2 linked regions of the Saccharomyces cerevisiae S288C genome follow. The gene in region 1 interacts genetically with each later gene. Each region holds a gene or a part of one and is shown in the gene's direction. Other genes may lie near its edges. The genes, in order: ROD1 and HXT1.

Evidence for each region.
Region 2: of ROD1 (region 1) and HXT1, changing one suppresses a phenotype caused by changing the other (phenotypic suppression), as found in Saccharomyces cerevisiae (one study listed by BioGRID).

What each region holds. Positions count from the first base shown.
Region 1 is NC_001147.6:362,497-367,401, forward strand, and holds ROD1 (Rod1p), read left to right. Parts: upstream 1-1,872; coding exon 1,873-4,386; downstream 4,387-4,905. Other genes in the region: PET127 (Pet127p), read left to right, coding at 1-1,318. UniProt on the Saccharomyces cerevisiae protein: Mediates resistance to o-dinitrobenzene, calcium and zinc.
Region 2 is NC_001140.6:290,251-294,398, reverse strand, and holds HXT1 (hexose transporter HXT1), read left to right. Parts: upstream 1-1,773; coding exon 1,774-3,486; downstream 3,487-4,148. UniProt on the Saccharomyces cerevisiae protein: Low-affinity glucose transporter. HXT1 is as well involved in the transport of mannose.

The sequences.
Region 1 (4,905 bases):
TTATCACTATTCTAGTATAGATGAATTCATTGTGAGATCTCAATTGGACGCGTACGACCCAAATCTACCTGGAACGGGTGTATTTGATCTGAAGACAAGAGCAGTTTCTGCCATAAGATACGATTTATCACATGTAGAGAGTAATAACAACCAAACTGGATATGAGATAGATAAAGTTTATGGGGAATTTGAGTCTTTGGAAAGAGAATATTTTGAACTAATCAGGTCTGCCCTTCTAAAGTATTCTTTGCAAGCTAGAATTGGCAAAATGGACGGTATTTTCGTTGCATACCACAATATTTCTAAGATGTTTGGATTCCAATATCTACCTTTGGACGAATTAGATTATATAATCCATTCTTCGTATAACAGCAAATTCGACAGTTTGTTAAAGGAGAAGAATGATATCACAAAAGGGATATATGGTGAGGAGGACTACATTCTACACTATGACAGGGACGATAGGAAAATTGCTTGCTTGGTGGCTAATAGGGAATTTAAGATGTCTATGAATCTGTTCAGTAATATTTTGAAACACGTTGAGCAGTTACTTAACTCAAGTAATACGAAATGGGAAAAATGCAAAATAATGCTTAAAACCGAAGTTGAAGAAAAACGATCCAAAAGTGGCCGCTTCTTTAACGAACCGGTGCTAAATATTGTAGCCCTGCCGTTGTCACCTGAGTACGAGGATAAATCTTTATTGGTAAAGGATACTTCGAACGAACAATTAACAGAGGAGCTACTAAACCTCCGCTCATATAACGAAAATCTTTTGGAGGAACACCTGAATTCCTTAGTTGGATTTAAAGTAAATGTCAAGCATTTCTATCACCATCATCCTAATACTACACATCTACCTGATTTTGCTTTAAAAAAGAACGATATTCTCGACACCGAATCCCGTAAATATATTTCTGACATGATGAAACGAGACTGGTACAAAGATATACCATCTACACAGACTCCAAACTTTTTCCACGCTTCCGATGTTTCCACTTGGGAGGTGAACTCTACTTTTACAGATATCAATGACAAACAAATTTTACGAAAACTATACTTTAAATATTTGGATGTTAAATTAAACGCATTGAAAAATCAAGTAATCACACGTCAGGAACCTGATATGTCTAAAAAGGATGAAATTATGAATCGAATCAAATCACTACAAGCCCGCAATGATCACCGCGATAATGGAAGTAACAAAAGATATTCTAATTTTGGCCCTACCCGACTGCAAACTAAACTGCGCGCATATGCTAAAAAAGGTGCCCTTCGAAGAAAACTATTAGAAAGGAGTAACAAGTTCCATATCTAGAAGACAGTAGTCAGCGTTGGGCAATCTAATGTTATAGGTGAAGTTTTACTACTTTAATGTATTCACTCACAACTTTCGACCTTATGTAATTATTCTATGTATTTTTAGATATGTCCATACAATGCATTATTCTTGTAATTATAACACATATTAATTAAACAATGGGTCAAAAAGAGTCGAGTCCCTTGGTACATATTATGTTACATTACTGATTAAGTTGAATAAAAGCATCTAACTTTAAGGAATCTGCTTTATTTTGAAGACCGAAAACTACGAGTAAAAATAGGAGTTTTAATGCGGATGAATGTCTAACCCCAGAGATGGGTTCTCCGATAAAAACTGAGAAGCTTCCTGTTCACAGTTTTTATAAATTATTTTGTATGGCTGGGCTCTTGCAATTTTCAGCGTTTTTTTATTAAGCGAAAAAAACAGAACAGGGGTCCCCTATTCAAATATAGACGTCAAAAAGATGCAGATCTAAAACTAATTAACAACCATACAGAAATCAACGCGATTTCATCACACCATTCGCTTCTCTTCCTCCATAAGTAATAATGTTTTCATCATCATCTCGACCTTCAAAAGAGCCATTACTATTTGACATCAGACTTAGAAATTTGGACAATGATGTTTTACTGATAAAAGGCCCCCCTGATGAGGCATCTTCTGTCCTACTATCTGGAACTATAGTATTGTCAATTACTGAGCCAATTCAAATCAAGTCTTTGGCTTTGAGACTTTTTGGTAGGTTGAGACTAAATATTCCAACGGTTTTACAAACTGTTCATGGGCCGCATAAGCGATACTCAAAGTTTGAGAGAAACATATATTCTCATTTTTGGGATGATTTTAATATAAAAAGTTATTTCCAAAACTTGTACGATAATCATAATAATGGTAAAATAACAATTTCTAGTAAATCCTCAACAAATTTAGCAGCATTGCCAAAGAGAAAAAGAGCCCTTTCTACTGCATCATTGATATCAAGTAATGGGCAGACAAGCGCAAGCAAAAACTATCACACCTTAGTAAAAGGTAACTACGAATTCCCTTTCAGCGCGATTATTCCTGGGTCATTAGTGGAAAGTGTAGAAGGCCTACCAAATGCTGCCGTCACTTATGCTCTGGAAGCTACTATCGAGAGACCTAAGCAGCCCGACTTGATCTGTAAAAAACATCTAAGAGTTATTCGAACGTTAGCTATAGATGCAGTCGAGTTATCTGAAACAGTATCAGTGGATAACTCATGGCCTGAAAAAGTCGATTATACGATCTCCATTCCAACTAAGGCAATTGCCATTGGCTCTTCCACCATGATCAATATTTTAATTGTTCCTATATTAAAAGGATTGAAGTTAGGCCCTGTTAGGATCAGTTTGGTGGAAAATTCCCAGTATTGTGGTAGCTATGGAGGGGTTATCAACCAAGAAAGAATGGTGGCTAAATTAAAACTAAAAGATCCCCTGAAGCACGTTGCCCAAATAAAGAAGAAGAGGAGCCTAAATGAAGCTGCCGACGAAGGGGTTGATACGGACACAGGGGAATTTCAAGATAAATGGGAAGTTCGAGCTTTATTAAACATACCTGCAAGCCTGACTAAATGCTCCCAAGACTGTCGCATTTTATCTAATATCAAAGTCCGTCATAAGATCAAGTTCACTATAAGTTTACTCAATCCGGACGGTCATATTTCAGAATTGCGTGCGGCACTGCCTGTCCAATTATTCATTTCACCGTTTGTTCCAGTCAATGTAAAGACCTCCGATGTTATTGAAAGAACGCTCAAAACGTTTGGACCCTCATATCAAGTAACAAGTCAGCACGATAATTCATTCAGCAGCAAAAACTTTGTAGACGATAGTGAAGAAGATGTGATTTTTCAAAGATCTGCTTCTGCGTTACAATTGTCTTCAATGCCAACCATAGTATCTGGCTCTACTTTAAATATCAATAGTACTGATGCAGAGGCTACCGCAGTCGCTGACACAACTATGGTAACTAGTTTGATGGTACCTCCCAACTACGGCAATCACGTTTACGATCGAGTGTATGGCGAGGTAACTAATGAAGACGAAACTTCAGCATCAGCTTCTTCAAGTGCCGTCGAATCACAGGCAATTCACAATATTCAAAACCTATATATATCGGATAGTAACAATAGCAATAATCCTATTTTGGCACCAAATCCTCAAATCAAGATTGAAGATGATAGCCTAAATAATTGTGACTCTCGAGGGGACAGCGTTAACAATAGTAACCTGAATCTGGTTAATAGTAATCTAACAATTAGTGAAAATTGGAACAATAACTCTCCTTCTGCAAATAGATATAATAACATCATTAATGCTGGATTGAATAGTCCTTCACTGACACCAAGCTTTGCACATTTATCTAGGCGTAACTCATATAGTCGCCAAACATCTTCTACATCGCTGAAGAACGATTTGGAACTGACAGATTTAAGCAGAGTTCCCTCGTATGATAAAGCAATGAAATCTGATATGATTGGTGAGGATCTTCCACCGGCTTATCCCGAGGAAGAACTTGGAGTTCAAGAAAATAAAAAAATTGAACTAGAAAGGCCACAAATTCTTCATCACAAGTCTACATCCTCTTTGTTGCCACTTCCAGGCTCGAGCAAGAGTTCCAATAATCTGAAAAGATCGTCTAGTAGGACACATTTATCCCACTCTCCATTACCAAGGAATAATAGCGGATCCTCAGTATCATTGCAGCAGTTGGCGAGAAACAACACAGATAGTTCATTTAATCTAAATCTCTCTTTCACTTCAGCAAAAAGCAGCACAGGAAGCAGACATTTTCCGTTTAATATGACAACATCTTTCACTAGTAATTCAAGTTCCAAGAACAATTCACATTTTGATAAAACTGATTCTACATCTGACGCTAATAAGCCAAGAGAAGAGGAAAACTATACGAGCGCAACCCACAATCGAAGGTCACGCTCATCGTCAGTTCGGAGCAACAATAGCAACTCACCATTAAGACAAGGAACAGGTTCATTTGCTAATTTAATGGAGATGTTCACAAAACGGGATCGCTCATAGACTGCTTTATTTTTTGTCTTCGAAATTTCGACAAAAAGATATGAGCAATACTTCATACACGTTTGTACAGTTAAGCATATATACTTTGATAGAGTACTTTCATACCTCATACCACTTGAAAAATGATAATATAATGTTATAATACTACCTCATAATTGCTATAAAGTAAAACAATTCGGCGTTGTAGTTTATGCTTCTATAATCACAAAAAAATTTCACTGAAGTTGTCAGATTCTGCCGCAAGGCTTCTCATAGATTTTGTTAAGTGGTCTTACTCGGTTTTATGGCTTGAAGGTTAACATAATTATGAAAACTTATTGATATCCTCCCCACCCCTAACGTTTTAAAAATGATCTCGTCCAATATGTTTGAGGTGAATAATATCGGACCAGTTCTTGTTTTTAAAAGATAAGAATTGCTCATATTTCCCATACTTGTTGGAAAATTTCTCTCAACAATTGTATGAAGGCAAAATCCCTCAATTGAAACATTAAAATAGTGATTAGAAAAACAGGATTA
Region 2 (4,148 bases), on another chromosome or scaffold:
GAGAAAGGGTTGCTACGCCTAACAACAAGAACTTGTATATCGTTTCTTGTTACTTATACTTTTCTGCCCACTTCTCTCTTACAACTGCTCGAGCTCATCCTTGGTAATAAAACAGTGAGGACGGTTACTCGAGGTTTCAACAGGGGAAAATAAATTTATATGATGAATCAAGAGCCCCGTTCTTTTACCGTATTATCCTTCATACTACATACTAGGGAAAGAACTGAAAACTCCGCTACCTGCTGTAACAGCGCATAATAAAAAGCAAGAATATAGACAGTTACTGTTGTTTACGTTCTTTGATGACATCATTCTCATCAGACATACAGAAACACATCCTTTTTGTCTACCCCGTATTTATTCCAACTTCAAAGTATAGGTACCGTCCGGTTATACTCTCATATACTTTGTGGCAGTTTGCTTCTTTAAACCTTGTTAACCCAGAATATTTTCAGTGCAAAAAGCTTCCGATCCTCAAATACAGTGAGAGAAAAAGCAAACTTGTCTTCATTATTTTTCTGTTTGGCCCTGTCACGGTTCTTTTTATGGCCTTCTCGAAGGATATCCGTAGTCAATTATATTCACGTAGTTGCCAAAAGTAATTTTTGGAAAACTATTATTCCTCCGAGAAAACCTCACACAGAAATCCTTGCAGGTCTCATCTGGAATATAATTCCCCCCTCCTGAAGCAAATTTTTCCTTTGAGCCGGAATTTTTGATATTCCGAGTTCTTTTTTTCCATTCGCGGAGGTTATTCCATTCCTAAACGAGTGGCCACAATGAAACTTCAATTCATATCGACCGACTATTTTTCTCCGAACCAAAAAAATAGCAGGGCGAGATTGGAGCTGCGGAAAAAAGAGGAAAAAATTTTTTCGTAGTTTTCTTGTGCAAATTAGGGTGTAAGGTTTCTAGGGCTTATTGGTTCAAGCAGAAGAGACAACAATTGTAGGTCCTAAATTCAAGGCGGATGTAAGGAGTATTGGTTTCGAAAGTTTTTCCGAAGCGGCATGGCAGGGACTACTTGCGCATGCGCTCGGATTATCTTCATTTTTGCTTGCAAAAACGTAGAATCATGGTAAATTACATGAAGAATTCTCTTTTTTTTTTTTTTTTTTTTTTTTTTACCTCTAAAGAGTGTTGACCAACTGAAAAAACCCTTCTTCAAGAGAGTTAAACTAAGACTAACCATCATAACTTCCAAGGAATTAATCGATATCTTGCACTCCTGATTTTTCTTCAAAGAGACAGCGCAAAGGATTATGACACTGTTGCATTGAGTCAAAAGTTTTTCCGAAGTGACCCAGTGCTCTTTTTTTTTTTCCGTGAAGGACTGACAAATATGCGCACAAGATCCAATACGTAATGGAAATTCGGAAAAACTAGGAAGAAATGCTGCAGGGCATTGCCGTGCCGATCTTTTGTCTTTCAGATATATGAGAAAAAGAATATTCATCAAGTGCTGATAGAAGAATACCACTCATATGACGTGGGCAGAAGACAGCAAACGTAAACATGAGCTGCTGCGACATTTGATGGCTTTTATCCGACAAGCCAGGAAACTCCACCATTATCTAATGTAGCAAAATATTTCTTAACACCCGAAGTTGCGTGTCCCCCTCACGTTTTTAATCATTTGAATTAGTATATTGAAATTATATATAAAGGCAACAATGTCCCCATAATCAATTCCATCTGGGGTCTCATGTTCTTTCCCCACCTTAAAATCTATAAAGATATCATAATCGTCAACTAGTTGATATACGTAAAATCATGAATTCAACTCCCGATCTAATATCTCCTCAGAAATCCAATTCATCCAACTCATATGAATTGGAATCTGGTCGTTCAAAGGCCATGAATACTCCAGAAGGTAAAAATGAAAGTTTTCACGACAACTTAAGTGAAAGTCAAGTGCAACCCGCCGTTGCCCCTCCAAACACCGGAAAAGGTGTCTACGTAACGGTTTCTATCTGTTGTGTTATGGTTGCTTTCGGTGGTTTCATATTTGGATGGGATACTGGTACCATTTCTGGTTTTGTTGCTCAAACTGATTTTCTAAGAAGATTTGGTATGAAGCACCACGACGGTAGTCATTACTTGTCCAAGGTGAGAACTGGTTTAATTGTCTCTATTTTTAACATTGGTTGTGCCATTGGTGGTATCGTCTTAGCCAAGCTAGGTGATATGTATGGTCGTAGAATCGGTTTGATTGTCGTTGTAGTAATCTACACTATCGGTATCATTATTCAAATAGCCTCGATCAACAAGTGGTACCAATATTTCATTGGTAGAATTATCTCTGGTTTAGGTGTCGGTGGTATCACAGTTTTATCTCCCATGCTAATATCTGAGGTCGCCCCCAGTGAAATGAGAGGCACCTTGGTTTCATGTTACCAAGTCATGATTACTTTAGGTATTTTCTTAGGTTACTGTACCAATTTTGGTACCAAGAATTACTCAAACTCTGTCCAATGGAGAGTTCCATTAGGTTTGTGTTTCGCCTGGGCCTTATTTATGATTGGTGGTATGATGTTTGTTCCTGAATCTCCACGTTATTTGGTTGAAGCTGGCAGAATCGACGAAGCCAGGGCTTCTTTAGCTAAAGTTAACAAATGCCCACCTGACCATCCATACATTCAATATGAGTTGGAAACTATCGAAGCCAGTGTCGAAGAAATGAGAGCCGCTGGTACTGCATCTTGGGGCGAATTATTCACTGGTAAACCAGCCATGTTTCAACGTACTATGATGGGTATCATGATTCAATCTCTACAACAATTAACTGGTGATAACTATTTCTTCTACTACGGTACCATTGTTTTCCAGGCTGTCGGTTTAAGTGACTCTTTTGAAACTTCTATTGTCTTTGGTGTCGTCAACTTCTTCTCCACTTGTTGTTCTCTGTACACCGTTGACCGTTTTGGCCGTCGTAACTGTTTGATGTGGGGTGCTGTCGGTATGGTCTGCTGTTATGTTGTCTATGCCTCTGTTGGTGTTACCAGATTATGGCCAAACGGTCAAGATCAACCATCTTCAAAGGGTGCTGGTAACTGTATGATTGTTTTCGCATGTTTCTACATTTTCTGTTTCGCTACTACCTGGGCCCCAATTGCTTACGTTGTTATTTCAGAATGTTTCCCATTAAGAGTCAAATCCAAGTGTATGTCTATTGCCAGTGCTGCTAACTGGATCTGGGGTTTCTTGATTAGTTTCTTCACCCCATTTATTACTGGTGCCATCAACTTCTACTACGGTTACGTTTTCATGGGCTGTATGGTTTTCGCTTACTTTTACGTCTTTTTCTTCGTTCCAGAAACTAAAGGTTTATCATTAGAAGAAGTTAATGATATGTACGCCGAAGGTGTTCTACCATGGAAATCAGCTTCCTGGGTTCCAGTATCCAAGAGAGGCGCTGACTACAACGCTGATGACCTAATGCATGATGACCAACCATTTTACAAGAGTTTGTTTAGCAGGAAATAAACTAAACAAGCTCAATATGCATATTTTAATGACTTATACAGTATTTAATTTCTCAGTAAATTTTATAAAGGTGATATTATATTGGTGTTAAAACAAAATTCTTGTCAAATTCATAAACAGATGTTCTTTTCTTTGCTAGTTCTTGACCTTCACCAAGGAACAAGAAATTTCATTCTGGCACTCTTCCGAGGAAAAATTTTATATGATATAGTATGGGTTAATACCACATAGGCGCTATACATAGTTCAAACGCCCGCTTATGATTTCGGAAAAATGTCAAATGAATAGAAATTGACAACGCTGCTGCTTCAACATCTAGTAGTGTTACTTAAGCCTGTTAGGATGTTGTTTTTAGGTATTTATAATTACTAGCAATAATTTCCATTAACAGATAACCGAGTCGATCTCAATGGATATACAGTTGCCAATCATATGTATTTTCTGACTGGCACAGGGAGACACGAAAAACACTTGCTTGATAAGAGGTGAAGCAGTAAAGAAAAGACGACAAGTAAAAAAAAAATGACGAGAAAATGCACGCTACCATCGAAAAGGCGACCTTTCCAATCCACTAAGAGTTACTTTAAAATCGTTGAAAAAGCATTATGACACTATGTTTGGCGCCAATAAGAATACTACGTCATTATGCATGGAGGAGAACC